Rhinolophus ferrumequinum: one gene and its partners. The protein of the gene in region 3 purifies or fractionates together with the protein of the main gene of each other region. This does not show direct contact. Links are inferred from orthologs where the notes say so. Each region holds a gene or a part of one and is shown on either strand. Other genes may lie near its edges.

Region 1 (7,058 bases), on a different chromosome or scaffold from region 3:
AGGAAACCCCCATCGCCTCCCATGGCTACAGTTACATCTGCCGCTTCTCTTCCCCACCCACTGCCTCTCGGCTCAACCATCCCAGCCGAAGGTCAAGGACTATTTGAGTCACAGTTAGAAAAATAAGTTCCTTAAATTGCTCACTCCCATCAGAAAAATGATGACCCCCTCAGGGCCAGTGTCCCACGTGTCACAGGGAAACCAACCAGTCAGGTACCCCCAAGCCTCTGTTCTAGTGAAAGGACCACCTCCAGCACCTCTTACTAAACCATTCAGATTTATCATGAAGCATCTAATTCCATATGTGTCAAGTTTCTTTGTCTATAAAAATATCTGTGAAGAACAGAAAACGTAACCCCCCCTTTTTTTTTTTTTTAATGAAAGCAAGCTCAAGTTCTTTGACTTGAGGAAACAAAAGCACCTTTCGTGGGGGATGATCTAAGAGTTCTCACCACTGAACACTGCTACTGGGTCACACACAGGTAACCAGCAAGAACGAAAAGATGCGCAGGCACCTGCGTGGCTTACCTGAGACATCTGAACTTGGGTGCACTGCTGCTGCGGCATGAGGTCAGGTTCTTGGTCCAACTGGGCGAGCGTGGGGCTGGGACCTCACATTTACGCGTGCTCCTCGTCTCTGGCCTGTGAAATCACCAGAGCTGCCAGCGTGTTGCCCAGGGTGGGCGTCAGAACCTGTGGGATGCACAGAGCATCCCGTGAGGCTGCTCTCTCTCTTCCCACGATCGCATCAGCCCCATGCCCTGGACGCGGGGCAGGAAGGCCAAACACGTACCAGAATGGAACGGTGGGCATTAAGGCTGAAAGAATATTGCAGGGGCAGATCTAGGGAGAGCAGGGAGGAAAACTGAGCCAACTAGTAGCTACAGATTAGAGCAACAGGCATGGCACGAAAACGTGGCCATTTGCTCTACAGCTAAACCTTCACGCCAGTGACAAAACCAGTGAACGAAAATCTCCCCACGTTTGCCGGTCAACTCCAGCCTAATTTGCACCTTAAAGAGTAAGAGGTAACAGATATTGATCTCCAACTTTCAGATTTCATGAATCTGTAAAATTTCAAAAAAAGAAAAAGAAAAAAATCGAAGGAGCACTGAGAGTTGCCAAATTTTCAGTCTGCTCAACGTGGATTTTTTTTCTTTAATTATTATCCATAAGCACTATGATTACATAAAATTAAGGTACTTTAAAACTTTTTACTGTGAAAATGTTCAAACATCCACAATGTGGAGAGAACAGCAGTGACCCGCCTCGTTCCCCTTATTCAGGGTCAATAATTACTAGTATGCAGGACCAATCCTCCTTCCTCTCCTGTCCCCATGTGACTTGACGGCCAATTTCAGATATATCATGTCTGAGATCCATAAATAAAAGCTTATCAACACCCAGAAACGAAGAAACACAGAAAACCTCCCTCCAGTGTCCCTGTTGGAGGTAAGACTCACGTCACTGTGGGCAGGTGAGGACGTGGTCCTGGATGGACGTGGGCCCACAGGCACGTGTGGGAACTGAGTGGCCGGAGGAAAAACAGAACTCGGGAGATTTAACCCAAGTTAACGCGAGATAAGTAAGTTAACACCCATCCCACAGCCCACTCCTCCTGGAGTCAGATCTTCAGCATAATTTTTCCACTTCTGACAGAGAGATCACCCTCTATGTCATCAGTTTCACCTGAAATATTAAGCAATAACCTAAAAATGATTTCTCTCTGAGGTGTAGGAACCCCAAGAACATTCCTTGTATCACCAGCAAGCCCTTTGACATACACACTTGGTAACACTCTTGGAAACTGGGGGAGGATGCTCTCTGGAAATTCCAGGTTTCTTATGGTCCAGGGATGGCTCCACTTATCCAGACATAACGTCCTCCAAACAAACACCTTTCCATTCAAGCACATTCTCTATCCCTCCTGTTTCCAGGATGAGCCGCACTGAAGACTCACAGGGTCAACCACGTGCTGGTGGGGGGGGGGGGAGCCTCAGATGGACAGAGCTGGGCCTCCCTGGGGCGCTTTCAGGGGCGGGGGTGGGGGGGGTAGGGGGGGACCTCCAGGCTCTTCAGCAGAGCAAGTAGAGAACCAGTCCCCAGCCAAGAGAGAGCAAACTGACCCCCTCCTTGGAGGCCTGACTCTCAACATCCCTTACAGAGAAAGGCTGTTCAGGAGGCCACTGTAGCTCCTACGACCCAGGACAGACCCAACAGCACCGGAGAAAAGCAACGGGTGTTTACAAACCCCACAGCTTGTACCCACCCACTCGCAGCCACCACGACCACCATGACCGTGAGGAAGGTTACAGCCCCGGGGGCGAGCCTTTCCCACACAGCTTACTAAAGGAAACTGAGAAGATCTCCGCTCTGCCGCCAAACAGAACGCTCTCTCCCCGATTTTGACTTAAGCCATCTCGGAGAAAGTCTGGATCCCGCGTGAAGGATGCTTCTGTGCGTAACGACTGCGCCCGCCACGGACACAGGCCCCTGCCTCCTCCCCCGCCCAGGCTCCTGGGGGGCAGCTCCCCGGACCCTCCACCTCCGGTCGGTGTTCACCGGGGTCGGCAGAGCGCACCTAGGACAGCCCGCAGCGCACGCCCCCCGGGCCTCCCCGTGGACCCCCAAACCTCTAGCGGACCGCGCAGCCTCGGGCCCTCCCCGCGGACCCCCACATCCCCCATGGACCGCACGGCTCCTGGCCCTCCCCGCGGACCGCGGAGCCCTCAGGGACACGCACTCACGTTTCACCGGAGCGCCCTCAGGTGCGCCCGCGTCGGGCCGCACCTTCCCGCGCCCCAGGCCTGGCAGGAGCCCTCGCCTTGGCCAGACGCGCAGCCTTCCCCCGACCCGCGCGCAGCCCAGACCCGACCCCTGCCTACCTGACCCTCACCCGGCACGCTGCAGCCCCGCGGCGCTGTCGTCTGCTCGGCCCGGGCCCAGTACACTCACCATCCGGGCCCTCGGCGCCTCACACACGTGTCACGGCGACACTTAAAGACGCCGCCGCCCGCGGCCCGCGCTGCGGGACACAGAAATGCCCCTGCAGCTTTAAGAGGCGGGGTTGGCTTCGGCCCCACTCCCTGAGCCCGCCCACAGCCTCTTTACGCGCCGGAAACGTCACCTTCCATCCCGCGGCTCCGCCAGCTTACGCAATGACGCAAACACGCAGAGCCGGAGACGGCCCGCCCCCTTGGCGAGAGACCCGAGAGTTCCCGCAGAGCACGTGAGGCGCCTGCTTCCGGGCTCCGCGCGCGGGGCGCGGGCGGCGAGCGCACCTGCGGCCTGACAGCCGCGCCTCATGCTCACCTGACGGGCTATGTCTCACTCTCTAGGGCCTTTTGTGACCAAGACACAGGCCCGAGGCCATCAGGGCAGCCGATCAGTAAAGCTGGGCGGGCGAGAAGTGTCCGCGGGCTCTGCGGAATTCCCTGACCTCACCGCCTCCAAAACCACGTCAAGGCCGTGGTTGAGTGTGTGTAAAGACGCATTGCTTCTGCGATATTGAAAAAAGCACCTTTCCCCCCAAGCAGCTTCGTTGGCTCAGGGCAGGTGGAGAGAGCGGTTCCTAGCCTGACCTCTGGTGGTGTCTCACCGGAGCAAAGGGGGGGAATAAATGACGCCCCAAAAGGCCAAAGCTTCCCTATCTGATGCTGTGTCGTCATGTCCCCTCTCCCCCAGGCCGTCCAGTGGGAAGTGAGGATGGAGAGAGAGGATGGGTGTAACTGGGACAACACGTACCTTGTGGTTATTACGTGGGGCTGGGGTTTTTCTGAAAAAGCGAATGAGCAGAAACAAAGTCATAGGAGCCCAATCCTGATCTGTGAGAATCCTCAACTGAACTTCAGATGGAGATTTGTCCCCATGTGCGTCCACCCTGGGCCCTCAGACAATGATCCAAACGAAGACAGGTGTCGCCATTCCAGGCCTGACACGTGTGCTTAGTGGTTAAATGCGGAGGCAGGTTGGGAGGGGAAACTGGCAGGGGAACCGGGGAGACTTGGGTTTTATTCCAACTCTGTCCTAATTAGCAGGTTTTGGGGGGCACATCTTGTAACTAACCTGGGCCTCAGTTTCCTCATCAAAGACGACCTCCCGCATCTCTTTCGTTCGAACATCAAAACCAGCGACGTCTGCTTCGAGTGCAGAGCTCCTCTGTGCCACTTGAGCAACGTTATCCGATTGAATCCTCGTGGCCACCCTACAAAAAAGATGATTGTACCCATTTTACAGATGAGAAAACTCGAGTGTGCAAGATCCCAGCAAGCAAGGGGTGACCTGAGGGTTTAGACTCAGGTTTTTGTCAGGCCCCAAGTTCAAACCTTTAACTGGGGCTCTCACGGGACACCCTGCACATTCCTCAGAGATGACAAAGGAATTGCCTGAGAGGCCTGCATGCTGCTTGAGAATGTGAACGGAGATCTTGATTTGGGAGGCGCCCTGGGCCACCCACACCCCTGCCCTGCTTCCCCTTCAGATTCCCTTGGAGACGCCTTCAGAGTGGAATCTCTGGAGTATGTTCACATGGGTCCACATAGAAGTCCTTCCTGAGGCACTCAATCTCAGAGGGCACCTGAGAAATGCAAATTAAAACCTCCGTGAGGTACACTTCACCCCCTCTAGAGCATCTAAAATAAAGACTAGATGTTGCAGAGAATGTGGAGCATACAGACCCTTTGTAAGCCGGTGGGGAGTGTAAGATGATGCAACTGGTTTGGAAACTTACTTGAATATTTTTTTTTAAGTAACACAAACACTTACCCTGCGAACACATCCATTGGTCACCACTACAGGCTGGCAAATTCCAAATGCATGGGTGCAGACCTCCTCCCCGACCTTTGGAATCATGGGTCCAGTAAGTGCCTCCTGGACCTCTCCCCCCCGGAGGCCCCACAGCACCTGAGTCACCTGCCCAGAAATGATGCATCCCCACCCTCCCCTAAGCTGCCTCTCCATTTCTGCCCCATTGCCCACTTGGGCTGCTGTGCTGGGGCTCTGACCGAATCCTGCCCTTTTCAGCTCTTTCCAGGTTCCCTTGTGAACTGGTTTCCAGCGGGGCTCTGGCCACTGGGGGCACTGGTACCACTGGAGGGCAGAGGACAGGATAAGCAGGGCCATTTTCTCCCTTCCTCTCCGTTTTGAATGGAGTTTCTGGCAGTGGCTCCAGCTCCCACCAGAGAGGCACTCTATGGCCCCAGCCTCTCCACATAAAAGACTTTTTTAAAGAAAGGTTTCATTGAGCCAAAAATGCTCACCAAGAAGAAGACTGGTCTTGGGGCGTGAAGTCCAAACCACCAGCAGCAAAGACATACATGTCCACCGACTTGGAGTTGGCAAGCATTTTTATACATCAAGTAGGGGGAAGTGGGAAGAAAGACGTAGGCTGTCTGAAGGAATTTGCATGAGCTGCAGGCAAAGGGGTGGGAGAAGGTGACACGGGCCAGCTCTGAGAGAGGAGTCCGAAGAAAGAAAGGTCTGCTCCTGCAGCCGAGGCTCCTGGAATTCACTGGTGCCTGGCTGGGAGAATCTGCGGAAATACCCTCCCGGAAATTAATCTGAACTTTCAACAGACACAGAAGGCCTGGGAGCAGTCTTTTGATGGCTGGCCCGCAGCCATTGACAGACCAACAGTTCTCTCTCTCTCACTCCCGGGCATCTATAATTTATTGACAACCTCTCAGAATTTTCTCCTTGTCACTTCCATCAGGATGTAACCAACCCTGCATACATACACCCCCCCGCCCGGCTTTACAGGCTGTATGGAATGGTTTGGGTGTTCCCGGTTGGACCTGGGCTGATCCAGACAGAAACCCTGCCGGGCCAGCATTTTGGGCTCCTCTTTCTCTCCCCCCATGTAAGTGATCAGTCAACAGATTTTGCTAATTTTCCCTCTTCAATTTCCCTCAAACCATTCCCTCTGCTTCATCCAATTGCCCAAGTAATGCCCCACTCCATCTTCTGCATTATTAAAATAGCCAAAGCCATTGCTCAAACTGCCAAATACAGTATTTTAAAAGGCCTAACTGAACGTATCGTGCTCGTGTCTGAAACCCTCTCGTCCCCTGAAGCTGATGGGGAAAGCCAAGCTCCTCAACGTAATCTCTCATGGCCCCTGCAGGCTGGCTCCTGCCTGCCCCTCTCCCCTCATACCCAGCCACTTCCTGCCCTGGGTCCTTCAGCAGAGTAGATCCGAATGCCCCCCCAGACTCCAATCAGGCCGGCTCTGCTCCAGGCTCCAGCTAGTCTTTGGCCTAAAATACCCTTTCCCACTTGCCCATCAACCACCACGTCTGGCATCACCTCCTCCAAGAAGTCTTCCTGGATTGCCCCCACCGCCCCCACCCCTGCATTCCTGCCATTAGGTTGGTACTGTCTTGGGCTGGCCTGCACATTCCATTTATACCTTCAATTGGAATGCTCTGGACTTCTCCTCCCTCTCTGACCATGACTCTTAAGAGTAAGCACTACGGCCTACTCATCTGTGTACAAGTCTAAGGAAAACATCCCCACCGCTGCTGGGTGGAAGATGGTCTGACCCTTACAGGGTAAGCTGCTTCCCCCTGAGCCACCTCTGTAAGGGGCTCTCGAGGTGCCGAGGAAGGATCACAGGAGCCTGCGCTACTGAAGAGCTGGGCCTGGGAGTCCGCCTCTGCCTGGGTTCAAATCCCAGCTCCAGGGCTTACTGGCCAGGTGACCAGGTAACTCCACCGCCCACGCCTCAGTTTCCTCATCTATCAAGTGGGGAAGATGAGAGGACTGATTTCTCGGAGTTGGCAAGCATTCATTGAGAGAACATCTGCAAAACCCTACCTAGCACAAGTCCTGGCATGAAGTAAACATTAGCCATGACTGGAATTACTAGATGTATTGGAACGATTTCCTCAGCGGCTGCCCATGAGAGTGTCCTGAGCTGGGGGACAGATCACAAAAGGAAATGGACAGGACTTGTATGCCAAAAAGAGTGACCACAGCAGGCCTGAGGCTGCTCTCCTCAGGAAGCTTACTTACCAGGTTGGATTTCGGGAGGCTACCCCCGTTCCCCGGTAAGAATGGCT
Region 2 (7,292 bases), on a different chromosome or scaffold from region 3:
ATGAAATAACAAGAGACAGGCCTAAGCTTCATAATAAAAAGTGTAGATCAGATATAAAGTAATTTTCCTAAAAATTTAAGTGATGGAGAGCCTTTAGAAGGAGGCCAGGTTCTCACCCACTACAGGCCCCAAGATGGATTATATGACCTCTCAAATCTGTTTCCAATTCTATGGCATATTGAATATATCTCCTAAGATTCACACACATACGCGCGCGCGCGCGCGCGCGCGCGCGCGCGCACACACACACACACAGCATGATTTAGTAGCTGTACTTGGAAATATCAGAGAGTGGTTGGATTTACAGCATTCTGTAATTTTCTCTTGTATTTGGTAAAAATTAATATGATACTTTTGTCTTGAATTCTGTTGTACTAGGTTGGGGGGAAATGCATATGTACTGCCCTTTTCACTTCTTTTGGACTGTTACAGAGCTCTAATACTTCCCCTTCTGACTTATAATATTCACATAATTAATTATTTATGTAGCCATAAATGATGGTAGAATAAAAAAATTAAACCCATACTCTATTACTCTTTTCCTTTCCTTTTTTGGTATTTCCTTTAAAATGTCATTCTAAATTATGATGCATCTTAAAGAAAACTTTAATTTATACATTGGCAGAGACTAGGTCTTTAATTTGTTATTCTTTCTTTAAGCATCTAATATAGTACATGTTAAGGTGCTTATTGACAATTAGGTTGGTTTATTTTAATTTAACACATTCAAAGCAATTCACAAATATTCTCAGTGGCAAATAGAGCTCTCTCCTAATTTATAGAAGTAAAAAAGACTAGACCTTAAAGACTTTAGGTCTTTGTTACCTTCTCAGGGACTTTCCTAAACACTTTCCCAACAGGTTACTGTTTTGTTTTTTTGTCCTTTTCATAGATGTTACTGCCATTTACTATAGTAAGCATAGTTTATATCTATTTTACATATTTAGTTTATTTTCTGTCTTCTGGCAGTAGAATGTAAGCTCCATGAGGGCAAGGAGATTTTTGTGTGCTTTTGTTCACTGCTGTAGACTCAATATCTAGAATAATGCCTGCTATATAATAGGTGTTTGGTATGTATTTGTTGAATAAATGAATACAAGAGATCCAGCAAACAGATTGGATAATCTTTCTCAACCATTGTTAATGATAATTCGTATTTATTGAATATTTTCTTATCTTCTTTGATTATCATATTGATCTAGGATGGTCGGTATTAATATTATTACTGTTTTCCAGTAATTAAGTAACTTGCCCAATGTTATTCAGAAATTAAGTAGCAGAAATTGGTTTCAGCATTAAGTGAAAGAAGACAGTCACAAAATGCCACATATTGTATGATTGTGTTTATATGATTTGTCCAGAATAGGTGAGTCTATAGAGACAGAAAGGAGATCAGTGGTTGCCTAGGGCTTGGGCAAAGGGAGGTTGGGAGAAGAAGCCTAATAGGTATGTAGTGAGTATCTCTTAGGAATGACAGAATGTTTTAAAATTAGACTTTGGTGGTGGTTGCACACCATGTGCATATACTGAGAACCATTGAAGTTTGAACTTTAAATGGGTGAATTGTGTGGTATGTGAATTATGTCTCAATAAAGCTGTTAAAAATAAAAAACTGATTTTAAACTCAGATTTCTCTGGTTTAAAGCTTCTAATCACCTTCTGTAAGGAGCCAAAACTGGAGAAATGGCTGGTTCTGGTTCCTGGTTGGGGAAAGCACAGGTTTCCTGGAATATCATGTGCTAGAAAGTAAACAGGTACTCAAAAACTGGGACATGTGCAAAGGATTGCAAGTGGAAAGTGTCTTCCCTGGTCAAATATAAGATAATTCAAGAATCAAAAATTAAGGTGATAGTAATTACTGTCAATATTGCTACTAAAAACAAAAACAAAAAAGCCAAAAACAAACAGAAAACAGAGGTGGTGGGAACGAAATGAAAGCTTTCCTCACATAAAAATATCACCTAATTAGCATAGATGGAACAGATGAAATGATAGGAGTGTAATATCATTCTACAACCACTATAGTAATAATTGATTCAGGCAAGCATCATGAATGGATGCTAACACAAAGAGTGAAAGATTCTAGGGGAAAGGCTCACACAGTCTCAAAGTATTATCCCACAGATTACTTAAAAAACAAAACAAACAAACAAACAAAACAACTGAGGTGAAATTCACATAACATGAAACTGACCATTTTAGAGTGAACAATTCAGCAGCATTTAGTACATTTACAGATAGAGGTGGCCACCACCACCTCTACCTAGCTCCAAAACATTTTCCTCACTACAAAACAAAACCCTGTACCCATTAAGCAGTGGCTCCTCATTTCCCTCCCCCCAGCCATTGCCACCACCAAACTGCTTTCTGTGGATTTGCTTATTCTGGACGTTTCATAAAATTGACTCATAATATGTGACTTTTTGTGCCTGGTTTCTTTCACTTGGCATGGTTTTGAGGTTCATCCATATTGTAGCACATTGTATCAGCACTGCATTCCTTTTTATGGCTGAAAAATATTTCATTGTATGTCTTTACCACAATTTGTTTATCCATTCATACATGGGTGGATATTTTTGGGTTGTTTCTAACCTTTTGGCTACTGTGATTCATGCTGCTCTGACCATTTGTGTACAAGGATTTGTTTGAGTACCTAGAACCATAGAATTGCTAATAATTCATTGGTTAGCTTCTTGAAGAACTGTAGCACTATTTCCCACAGTGATTGCACCATTTTACATTCTCACCAGTAATGTATGAGGATTCCAATGTCTCTACATCCTTGCCAATACTTATTTTCCATTAAAAAAAATTATAGTCATCCTATTAGGTGTGAAGTGCTATTTCATGTGGTTTTGCTTTTTCATTTCTCTAATGATGTTGAGCACGTTTTCATCCACTTGTATATTTTCTTAGGAGAAATGTCTGTTTCTTGAATCTGTTGCCCATTTTTCACACAGACTAGTTTTCAAATACAAAAGAAAAAAGTACCTTCACCATGGAGAAATGATTAAATGTAACATCATCAATAATGGAACAAACTGACGTGATATCCTTTCTGTAGTGGCAATGTGCTAAGACGGATACAATATCATCTAGATAGAGTGCCTGATACAATTATTTAACTTGACTCTAATAGAGAACAAACTGAGGAGCATTCTGCAAAACAGTGGAATTGGATTCTTCCAAAGAGTCAATGTTATAACAGAAAAAACAAAACAAAACCAGGGATTACTCTAGACTAAAGGAGTTTAAAAATACATAACAAACTAAGCGCAATGCTTGATCCTTGATTGTATCCTGGATTGGGGGGAAAAAAGTGAGCTATAACAGACATTTTGAGAATTTGAATATGGCTTCGGTATATTACAGATAATAGTATTAATATTAAATTTTCTTGGAGTAATAATGGAATTCTGATTATGTAGGAGAATATCTTTGTTCTTAGTAGATATTTATTGAAATATTCAGGGGTAAAGGATAACGATGTCTGTGAAAAACTCAAATGATTCAGTAAAAACAAAATAACCAAACAAAAGCCCCATACACACCACACACATATACATAGGTAAAGCAAATGTGGTGAAACCTTAAAAATTGGTGAATAGGGGTTAACATGGATGCTCATTATACTTTACTCGTAACTTTTCTGTAGGTTTAATATTTTTGAAAAAAAGTTGAGAAAGTAAAAAGCTCTTGAAGTCCAAGCAGAACTTTTTGTTCTTTGGGTTTAGCGTCTTTAGAATAAAGGCTAGCTACTTTGGTCAGTTAAGAATACCGTTGTGTAACCAAAGAGAGAGTAAATGATCCGGGTTATCTTTCAAAGTATTATAATTACTTAAATAAAAAAGAAAACATTGCAGTTATCATTTTGTCCCACCATCAACTTAATTCACATCTTTATTAGGAAGCATGCATGATACGCAGAAAGTTTGGATCAGCCAGGCCTAAATTTGAATCATTGCTAAGTAAACTGTTTGACCTCTTTAGGACTCAGTTTCCTCACTGTAAAAAGGAAAAAATAATTACTTGGTGGGGTTGTTGTGTTACACAGTCGTACACATGGTATTTATTGAGCGCGGCTTGAATTAACGTGTAAAAAGCGCCAACCTACTTTCCATGCTATTTGCAACTTTTCCTTCATTAAAGTCAAGCAATCCTGTGGGGTAAGTAAAGGCGAGAGATAAGATGACTTCTCCAAGGTCACACAGCTAGTGAAGGACCCAGGTTGCCCAGCTCTTGGTCCTGTGACCTTTCCACACTCGCCCGAGGGGAGAAAGCGGCGCTCATGGGGATGCAAGGATGTAGAGGAGCCAAGGGGGAGAAGAGGCCGCGCGAAGAGCGGTGGTGTGAGACCCGCGGAGGCGCGGGCCAAGGAAGGGCACATGGACAGGCGGGCCGCGCCACTGGCCGGGGTGAGGCTGTGGCTGGAGAACGAGGGTCGCGCGGCCGGGTGCGGGTGAGAGGCGGGAGGCCCGGGCCAGCCGCGGGGGCGCGAGAGGCGGAGGCCCCGGCCGCGGGAGGGGGCGGGGAGGCGAGGGCCGGCGCGGCGGAGGTCGTGGGGGGTCGTTTCCGCACCCGCGGGGCGGGCGTGGGGGTGCGGGGCGCGCGGAAGGAACCGGGCGCGGGGGTCAGGACCCCACCGGGTGGGGGGGCGGGGCGGGTCTGGCCGGGGGCGGGTCTTGCTGGGTCCCCCGCGGGAGCGGCGGCGGCAGCAGCAGCGGCGGCGCAGGCGCGGTTCCCGCCTCCTCCCGGCTGGCGGAGCGAGTGGAGGCTGCAGCCCGGCTCCGCTCCCGCGTCGCCGCCGCCGCCACCGCTGCGGCCGCCGTCGCAGAGCCCCCCCGCCCTCCTTCCGCCGCGTCGGTATGAGCTCCCGGAAAGGTGAGTGGCCCACGGCGTCCCCTCTTCCCTGCCACGCGGCCCCGCAGGCCGGCCTGCCTGACCGTTAATGTATGTCTCTTCTTTCCCCAGTGCTGGCCATTCAGGCCCGAAAGCGGAGGCCGAAGAGAGAGAAACATCCGAAAAAGTGAGTCCACGCGGCGCTAGCACCCGGATCCCCGCCCCCGGCCGGTCGGGGGCAGCCCGCGACGGTGCCCGGGAAGTTGCCCGGATCCCCAGGGCCAGCGGGCAGGCTGATTCCCAGGGACGCGGGCGCTAGCCTCCTGCGCGCCCCGCGGGCGGCCCGGGGGGAGGGGCGGAGGGCGGGGGAGGGGCGCGCGCGAGCCCGCGGCCGGCGGGTTGAGCATCCCCGGGCGGTCCCTGGGACCTAAGTCGCCGCGGCCGTCGGGGCGGTTGGATGAGGAGGTGCCGGGCGTGCGCCCGGTCGCCTGCGCGCCGAGCTGTCCCCGGAGGTCGCAGGCCTTTCCCCGGAGGGGCGCTGGCGCCGGCTGCGGCATGAGGCTGCCTACCTGCTCCCACCTGGGCACCGGGGCTCGAGAGAGGAGGAGCCGAGTGTACGAGAGAGTGCGTGTGTGAGTGTGTGTGTCGCGTCCTCGTCCTCCCCGGCCCTTGCCTGTCGGCTGAAAACCCGAGCCAGTTGTCAAGAGGTTCGCTCCGGGAGTGTTCCTGGCGCGAGTTCAACGCTGAGACCTGTGCATTTCGGCGCTTGGGTTTGTATTCGAAACTTTGTGCTTGGGCCGAACGTGACTGCTGCGCTGGACCGGTGGGCGTGTGCGCGGGCGGTCCCCGGCGCGGCTTCCCGGCCTCTCATTGTGCCGCGAGTTGATGAATAGGGTGGTGATATTTAAAACGTGCCAGTCGCCGGCCACCTCCAGCCTGGCTGCGGACCGTAGTGGGAGCGGCCGGCTCCCGAGAAGCCTTTCCTGGAGAGCTGCTCCGAGACTGCAGAGCGCCGCCGCCTCTTTTTCCTTTTTCTCTTAATTAAAAAAAAAACATCTGCCAGCGTTCAACATCTTTACTCTGTCTAGATTTGTGGCTTTGCTCTTCTTTTTGAGCAAGGAAGGTATTTTTGGTACTATGAGGAATGACAGTCCATGATCTTTTAATAAAATCACCAAGTATTTCCTTTTTGTTTCCTTTCGGGGGGGCTGCCTGCAGCATTCCTAGACTTTCTTCTTTCCTGGTCGCCTTGGTCTCCGCTTAGCAAATTTCGTACCCGTTGGTATCTATGCAAACTGCCTAAGTTATTGCTAATGTATATCATGATATTATTATGACAGGAGTTTTGTTCCTTTTAAATGGAATATAATTTGAAACTATGTTCAGGATTTCACAAAATATGGATATCCACCTAATGCCTCAAAAAACTTACAGAGTGTGGGAAAAATACTTAAATTAAGAACTTAAGGAACTGATGGGTAATTTGGTAGTTTTAGATGCTTTAAAACAATTAATGCTAGCTTTCAAGTCAATCTTCAATCTGGGATTTCCTTTGATGAACGATTAAAGTTGAGCCAGTAGGTAAGGCGAACTAATGTTTAGGATCTTGAGTTTTAGTCACAACTTTCAATTCAAAGCATTTATTTCCACATTGCTCATTATGTTCAGAAACGTAAAAAAGAATTGAAAAAACCCTGCCCCCAATTTTGGGGAATGACTCTGTGTGTATATATGTATACTTATGTGTATGTATATATACATATGTGTGTTAAATATATGCATACATACAGAAAAACAGTTTTAGTTAAGTCAATGTGTGTAGCATATTTTCATATTTCAGGGTATGACTTTCCTAATGGCTAAGAGCCTTTTTTTGGTGTGCTGCAGTTTGGATTTATGTGGTATGTTTATAAAGAATTAGTGTGTATCCAAGTATTCAACTGTTACTCACAGATTAATCTGTCAGTTTCTTCTATTGTCTGTTGTATGTATTTGATAAGCTTTGAGGGAAATCTCCCCTCCCCCCCGCCAGTGACTAAATTAACTGGTTAGTCTGCAAGGTAATTAATTAGCAAGAGCAGATTGGTCCAATTACATAAGTGTTTGATTAAGACAATGTCATTTTTAACTTAATCCTTTGAATCAAGATATTATTTTAAAGGAATGCTTGATATGATTTATGTATTCATGTATTCAATAAGTATTTGCATGCCTTTCCTAGGAGGCGGTGATAGAGCTTTGAACAAGCTGAACAAAGCTACTCCTGAAGCTTATATTCTATGGGGGTTTGGGGAGAATTCCAAAGAAGATGGATTGTGAATGGATTGTGGAGGACGGGAGAGGTACATAATGGGAGCTGGCCAATTATAGTACTTGGGAAACCATGGTGACTTGGTTTAGGGTGTAAAGAGTGGCACGCTGGAGAGAAGAGCTGGTGGAAGAGGGACTTGGGG
Region 3 (7,612 bases):
TTCTGGAAACAATCCAAGGGACCTGGTTAACATTTTTAAAAAGTGTTTTCTTAAGGAAAAGGGGGAGGTGGGGCAGGAGATGAGGGGGTAAAGAATTACACAAAGATTTAGTCTAACGGCTTAAAAATCAAAAGGATCGTTGGACAGATAGATATCAAGTGTAATAGGAAACACACTGATCCTGGGGAGATGATTTAATATGGGCCCTCCAGCCTCCTTGGAGCTTAAACAATTATCTACAATTTGGAATTATACTTTAAATTCCCACATTGGTGTGTATTCTGGATCTATTTCTCAGGACGCAGCCAGCAATCTTGAGTTATCTAAACCAGGCTGAAAATTAGAGGCCATTAATAGCATCTCATAAAAAACGGCTTCTCAGGTTTTTTTAAGGGGAATATGCTGAGGACCACAGGGATTCAATGATAGGAAGAAGCAAAATGCTGTTAGTTATTTTTCCAAAGCTTAATCTAGGGATCTTTTTGAAGAGCTCCTTACCCAGCCATGAGATGAACGCCAAAACCAATACAGACGATGTTTTTCCCATTTAGAAATGGTGACCAGAAACATCATCCATGAAGAGATGTTCCCTGGAGTTCCCAGAGGTAAGGATCTTAAGCTACTTTTCATAACCATCCGGACCACTAGTTTGCCGTATCCTGGTCCCCAAAATCCCTAGGCATCCTAGACTGAAAACTGAGGGCAATGGGGCCCACAAAAACTCCACTTTAATACACCTAATTTTTCTTCTATTCCCTTGTAAACTGTTGGTGTTGTATGAGCAAGAACTCTATTTATTTTCTACAAACGAAACACAACAACAAAACCCTGAAAACATATTGCAAGTGCTTCCCTGTCCTTCCAGGCTCCCAGAACCTCTGCTTGCAGGCTAGTAACTGTTTCCCATTGAGCAGCAGCCACTGAAGGGGCCTAACTCTTGGCCCCAGCAGGCAGGGGTCAATTCATCATGGACTTGCCAGAGGAGAGACACAGGAGACTGAAAAGAGAAGCCTCTGCTCTCAGTTCAATTGGGAAGGATAAACCAACAAGCTGGCACTAATTAAGAGCTAATGGCCTTACAATGGAGCATTGCCAAAGGATAACGACCCTCCAGCTGCAGCATAAATATCAAGGCATTTGGGGCAGAGCCAAGACATATATTTCCAGAGTGCATTAGACACTGCAGCAGCCTTCCTCACCGTGGTTCTGCTGAGAAAAATGAGAGGATTTAAGATAGGTGGGGAAGGAGCTGGGTCTTACTAGGACCACCATCTGGTAAGCCGGTCAGAAAGCCTCAGGGTGACTTTGGGAAAATACTTTGCTTTTCAGATCTCAAAGTTTTGTGTATACAAGAATCACAAGACAAGCTCGTACAAATGTGTATTCTCCGGGCCCCACCTTCAGAGGGTCTCATTTCATTACCTCTGGGGTGAAGCCCTGGAGTCTGCATTTTTAACCTGTTCCCCCAAGGGATTCTGATGAAGGTGGTCCTCAGATCATACTTTGAAAAACGCGACTGTAGAAGTTGCTGCTCCTTGCACATTAGACCCTAATGAAAAAGTTTTTACGGAATGAAGAAGAAAGTAAGGTTAGATTCTCTGCTTCCTATGGAAACACCAGCCCGTTCTTTCCTATTAGAACTTGGCAGGAGGCTGTTGCAGGAGGATAGAGAAGAGTAGCATTTTCAGCCAGTTCCTGTTGGGGTCTTCCCATTCACACCGACCTGTGGTTCCTGCAAACAAGAGTTCAGGGAATGAGGTGCTAACCATGGATCTGGAGGAAAGGAGAAAGCAGCCCATCTCCATGGTGTGTAGCATGTCTGCTATACTTTCATACACTGGAACTGTTATGAGCACGCTGCAATCTTTCAGAGTAGTTAATATGTCTGTTTTAAAGCTGAGGAATTATAGGCCTGGAGGTGTATCTTGCCTCCTCTGGTTACCACGACATCAGAAAGGAGAGTTAAAAATAGTCATTGTATTATAATTGTGGCAAGCAGGGCACGCAAACCAAACCAATAACTTAAGCTTGACCCACCTTGATCAGGCTTATTTTCAGCTGGTAGAACTGAGGTTGGTTGTCAGGATCAGAAAATAGTGTTGTAAAAGAATTGATGGATCAGGTTATAAAAATAGATGGAAAGTTTGTATGATAAACGCAAGCTGAGTATGAGAACAGGAGAGAAACAACCCACCATATCATCTGGGAAAATGAAACTCCTTGGCAAGACTTCACAACAGCCTGATTCAAAATTTCATAATGAAATTATGTCTCTGATCAAAGCCTGAATGAGCTCATGGGCTGATTTTTGCCATTCGTGTTTATTCTGGTTTGAACCAAATTGAGGCATCAGAAACACATTATCCTAGTCTTCTCTCTGGGAGTGGGCTATTGCACCCTCATTTGGGGGACCAAAGGGACAGTGTGAGGCAGAACGAGACATCTTTTGATCCTCATTCAGCATGAAGTTATTTCTCATCATAGATCATCTCTCAGAGACTCCCTCAGACACCATGTCAGGCTCAGGGACTTTCTAGCAAAGTTGTGTTTAATCTCAGGATACTTGCCCTGGGGGCAATAAAAGTGAGTCTCAAGGGACAGAAGGTATTTCCTACTCTTGTCTAGGACATGGCCTGCTTTTGCTCTAGAAAGAATGTTCTGGGGCTTGTTTGTTTTAGACTCAGAAATAAAGAATCATCCCTCTCACAATTAGAGTACCTCACTTTATACCAAGTTGTTTGTTTTTACGAGACGAGCTTCACCACAGGGTGGAATCCACCTTCCTCGGGCCTAACCACCTCTTCTCTGATCCTGAAGGCACAGCGACAGGCACTTCCTGACAACTCGAGGTGCTAAAAAAAAAAAGAAAGAAAGAGAGAGAAAGCTTCTTGGTTGAAACACTGGCATCTAGAAACTGTATTTTGACTAGTAGAAACAGAAACTCTTGGGTCTTACCACTGTCATTTCCCCTCAGGGCAAGAGGCATTCCCATCTGCTACTGACTAAATGTTTGTGTCCCCTTAAAGTTCTTAGGTTAGAACCTCTAATCCCCAATGCAACAATACTTGGAAGTGGGGCCTTTGGGAGGTAATTAGGTTTAGATGAAGTCATGAGGGTGGAGCCCCCATGATGGGATTAGTGCCCTTATAAGAAGACGAGAGCAGTCCCTATCTCCCCAACATGTGAGGACAGTGAGAAGACAGCTATCTGCGAGCCAGGAAGAGAATTCTCACCAGGAACCCAACCAGGCTGGTACCCTGATCTTCCCAGCCTCCAGAATTGTAAAAAATAAATGTCTTGTTTAAGCCATGCAGTCTACAGTATTTTGTTACAGCAGGCAGAGCTAAGACACCATCTATTCACTCCTTCCTTCAGTGAATAGTTACTGAATCCTTACTAAGTTTCAAGTGCTGTTCTAAATCATGGAGATACAGCAGTGGACAAACTTACAAGGTCCCTGCTCTCAGGAAGCTTACATTCTATTTTTGGGGAAGCAGCCGATAAACTTGTAAATAACATAATTTCATATAGTGATAAATGCCATGAAGTAAATAAAATAGAATAATGTGACGGAATGACTGCAGAAGGGTGAGAGATGGCTGATTTAGACAGTGTTGAAAAACAAAACTCAACCAAGTAAATTTGAAGATCTAATCGGCTTTATTAAGTGATTCACAGAATCGGGCAGCATCCCATATCAAGTTTTGGTTTGGTGACATGGCTTAGCCACTATGCCTCCATTTTGGCCTGCTGTTTCTTTTTTTTAACAACAGGAAAGACTTCTCCCAATAGGAAGGGTTGCCAGATAAAATACAGTATGCCCAGGTAAATTTGAATTTCAGACAAACAATGAATTTTTTAAAATATAAGTATGTCCAAAACATTGCATGGGACATACTTATACTAAAAAATTATTCATTGTTTATCTGAAATTCAAATTTAACTAGTCGTATTTTTATTGGCTAAATCTTAGGACCCTACCCAACAGGTCACATTTCGGCTGAGAACTGAATGACCAGGGGAAACTAGCCATGCAAAGATTCAGGGAAAGAATGATTCAGGTAACGGGAACATTCACTGTAAATGTCAGAATAACCAGAGGGAAGGAGGTACAAATGAGGTCAGATAAATAGGCAGGGGCCAGATCATGCAGAATTCTATAGGAATGACCAGGAGTTGGAGTTTCAATGTCTCTGTCTGTCTCTGTCTCAAGCTCTAAGAGTGATGATAAGCCATTGGAGTTTTAATGAGCGCGTGACAAAATCTGATTGATATCTGGCTGCTGTGTGGTCAGTCGTTTTTGGAAGGGCTTAGAGGACAAATTCAGATAATTAAACTTAAGTTTGTGCCATGGTCCAGGGAAGAGGCTTCTGTGTTTGGGGGGTGGGCCCAACTAGGGGCTCTGGGCCCTTGGTCCTAGGTATCTAGGCGGTTGCTATGGAGGGGCAGCTTGACGGTTGCTAGGGAGAGAGAGAGGGGCGGGGGCTGGGCGCAGGGCGCTGTGGGAGCGGCCCGCACGGGGGCGGAGCCCGGAATGCGGCCGCGCGCTCAGCGAGTTCGCAGGAAGTCGCCCTGGGGAAGCAAGGGGCGCGAGCGGAAGTGATGTAGCCCTTGCACACGTGGTCTTGCGTGGTTCATGCGGGTCACTTCGGCGGCTCTTGGAAAGTGACGAACTCGTTTACCAGCCGTAGGCCGGATCTAGCACTCCGGTCCTCGTCCCGTCGGCAAGATGGTGAAGCCCAAGTACAAAGGACGGAGCACCATCAATCCATCTAAGGCCAGCACAAACCCCGGTACAAGCGGCGGAGCTCGCGGAGGGTGGAGCTTGGAGGAAGCTTGGGGGGAGGGCTTCGAGGAGACGGGGGGGAGGGGGGGAAACACGGGTGGCATTGCTTGGAGTGACTTCGAGCTGTGTGGCTATTGGGGATGAGGACGGAGAAGGTGGTTTCTTCTTTCGGAGGCACTGAGGAGGGCTGACATCTTGCACGCCTGTCACGACTAGGTGTCAGGCACCGGGTCTAAAGCTGGGGAAAGTGAACATTCAGGCCTGGCAGCCGTGGGGCGACTCCAGTTGTGAGATGCAGAGACTGGGAGGCTCTGAGCTGGAAGCGGCCGTTAAACTTGACCTCTTCTTGCGTCTTAGCGTGGGTCAGGTGTTGAAGCTCCTCCCCCAGTGTATTTCAGTCTTGTATGATTCCAGCTTTCCAACTCAAGGAATTGCCAGAAGTAAATTAGATAAAGTCAGATGCAAAGTGATGTAAGGCCAATCCATGTGGCCTTTTATACTTGACCACATTTGCCTGTCACCTTAGCTTTGACCATTTAAATGAGAAAGGGATTGTAGATTTGGCTCTTGGAGTCATCCTGTCTAGCAAAGTGCAGAGAAAATCCTACAGATAAATAAAGATGTTTTTGGAGATGTCTATGAGTTGTCTAGGTTCTACCTAAAGGATGAACAAGACAGCCTTTGGAGGAGTCTGTTCCATTCAGGTTTAGTTGATAAAACTGTTTTTAAATATGCTTTAAAGTTTTTGATGACTTGAATTCATGTTGAATGTTTTCTCTGGATTGCTGATACTCAGTTTGTGTAGACTTAGAATGTTAGGAACCCCCCCCCCCAAAGGACCTTAGAGATCATGAGGTTATAAGTGAAGATACAGCCAAAATAGGGGAAGTGGCTTGTCACAGTTGGTACAGTTAATAAGCAGTAGGGCTGCCACTCCTGTGATGTTAGCCTGTTTACAACTGCATGACTTCAAGAGTAGACAGGTGATTTGAAGGGAGTTACAGCATAAATCACCCTCTGCTTATTTGTTCTCTTTCTCTTTCAACTATAAGGCAAGAATTGCTAGCTATTGGTTAAACTAAAATCAAACATTAGGAAGTTAAGAAACTACTACATTAGGAACCTTGTGTCAGAATTGTAGTTCCCACGGTGCCTTGCATGTAGCAGACACTGGTATTTGTTAAATTGAGACCCAGAGGTAGGTGTCTTAGTGGTTAAGAGCACAGATAGTGGTCAGATGCTTTTGTTTAAATTGTGGCTCTGCCATTTAGGAGCGGTGTGATATTGGGCAAGGGTCTAACCACTGTGCCTCAGCTTCTTAGCCTACAGAATGGGGGTAATGTGTCCCTCTTTATAGGATTATTGTATGGATTACATGAGACAATGCCTGTGATGTGGACAGCACAGGGCCATAATTAATGCCCCAAAATATTGGCTGTTGTCACTGTCAAACACAATCCTACCGAGGCTCAAAGATTAGGTCAGGTGTGTCATGCCATGTAGCTTCCAGTAATTATAATGTGGGCACAACATACGGAAAAAGTCGAGATTTTTCAGTGAGGCGGCAGCCTGCCTACTCTGAATGAACTAGTTGGTGCGTTGGAAGCAGTGATCAAACTTAGACTTATTGGTTATCAAATAGTATGCGGTCTACTTGTGTGTTTCCTAGATCGAGTACAGGGAGCTGGAGGCCAAAACATGAGGGACCGGGCCACAATCAGGCGCCTGAATATGTACAGGCAGAAGGAGCGCAGGTGAGCATTGAGCAGTCACCCTTTCCCCCCCCTCTATGCCCTTGACTTGTAGCTGGGACCCATTGAGTTTTTGATAGTCCCACCCCCGCTATATCCCCAAGGCCGGGTAGTGTGATTTCAACTATCATTTTCTATGGGTGTTGTTATGATAAATTGTGAATTTTTTGGTTACAGACATGGGTAGTGTGGGTGGTGAAATCATGATTGTGTCACAACAGCTAGAGGTCTTGTTCCTCACAGTTTCGGCCCCCACAAGTGTAAATCTCAAGTTGAATATCTGTCAGATAGAAATCTGGTTTTCTTTAACAAGGCATATAGGACTGCCTTGAAAGCAGCCAGAGGACTTGTTTCTAATGCCAAACTTTAGATCACAACGTTGTGGCACTTAGAAACTCATCCCAACGCTGAGTTCTGCTGAGGCAGCCTCTGCTACAGAGACTCGCGGAGTGTGGCGTTTCGCTAGCTGGTCTTAATTTGTTTGGTAATTAGAGATTCTTCATCCGTTCTAAAAGATGTGTCTAAAACACCAACGTCAATGAACTTAATCTGCCTTAGTCACCTACTCTGCAGTTTGTTTTAGAATTTTGAGTTACAGCATAAATCACCCTCTACTTAAAATTCATTTAAACCAGCCTTCAAGTAATTACCCAAAAAACTCAACTATGTGATTTTTTTTTTTAAAGCAAAAAACAGTAAACAGATTTTTAAACCTTGGCATTATTTGTTATTCATCTAGCAGAAATCATTATGTGCTCTGTTGCAAGAGGTTAAATGGCTTTTGGGCAATCTGTTTCAAATGTAGTACTTTTTGTTTACTGAAATCTGTATTTCATGATCATTTACAACCAAAAAAAAAAAAGAAAAGAAAATGTCCTTTTGATGGAAAGGGTATTCTGTAAACCAAACTTTGCTGTTGCCTTTCTTCTGTTGTCAACCAAAATCTGTTAATTTCCTCAATTTAGGAATAATCGTGGTAAAGTGATTAAGCCTTTGCAATATCAATCAACGGTGGCTTCTGGCACAGTGGCAAGAGTGGAGCCAAATATTAAATGGTTTGGTGAGTATTGTCCTC

What was found.
Region 1: the proteins of GNL2 (region 3) and USP36 purify together in Homo sapiens (affinity purification with mass spectrometry; 3 studies listed by BioGRID and IntAct, with this or other methods). This does not show direct contact. The link is inferred for Rhinolophus ferrumequinum from reciprocal best matches to the Homo sapiens genes GNL2 and USP36.
Region 2: the proteins of GNL2 (region 3) and SRPK2 purify together in Homo sapiens (affinity purification with mass spectrometry; 3 studies listed by BioGRID and IntAct, with this or other methods). This does not show direct contact. The link is inferred for Rhinolophus ferrumequinum from reciprocal best matches to the Homo sapiens genes GNL2 and SRPK2.

Annotation. Positions count from the first base shown.
Region 1 is NC_046304.1:52,635,947-52,643,004, forward strand, and holds the start of USP36 (ubiquitin carboxyl-terminal hydrolase 36), read right to left. Parts: upstream 3,008-7,058; 5' UTR 2,886-3,007; intron 694-2,885; 5' UTR 529-693; intron 1-528. UniProt on the Homo sapiens protein: Deubiquitinase essential for the regulation of nucleolar structure and function. Required for cell and organism viability.
Region 2 is NC_046303.1:48,818,220-48,825,511, reverse strand, and holds the start of SRPK2 (SRSF protein kinase 2), read left to right. Parts: upstream 1-4,285; 5' UTR 4,286-4,288; coding exon 4,289-4,415; intron 4,416-4,748; exon of another isoform or gene 4,749-4,865; coding exon of another isoform or gene 4,866-4,881; intron 4,882-4,971; coding exon 4,972-5,026; intron 5,027-7,292. UniProt on the Homo sapiens protein: Serine/arginine-rich protein-specific kinase which specifically phosphorylates its substrates at serine residues located in regions rich in arginine/serine dipeptides, known as RS domains and is involved in the phosphorylation of SR splicing factors and the regulation of splicing.
Region 3 is NC_046292.1:26,254,573-26,262,184, reverse strand, and holds the start of GNL2 (nucleolar GTP-binding protein 2), read left to right. Parts: upstream 1-4,610; 5' UTR 4,611-4,729; coding exon 4,730-4,793; intron 4,794-6,455; coding exon 6,456-6,540; intron 6,541-7,502; coding exon 7,503-7,597; intron 7,598-7,612. UniProt on the Homo sapiens protein: GTPase that associates with pre-60S ribosomal subunits in the nucleolus and is required for their nuclear export and maturation.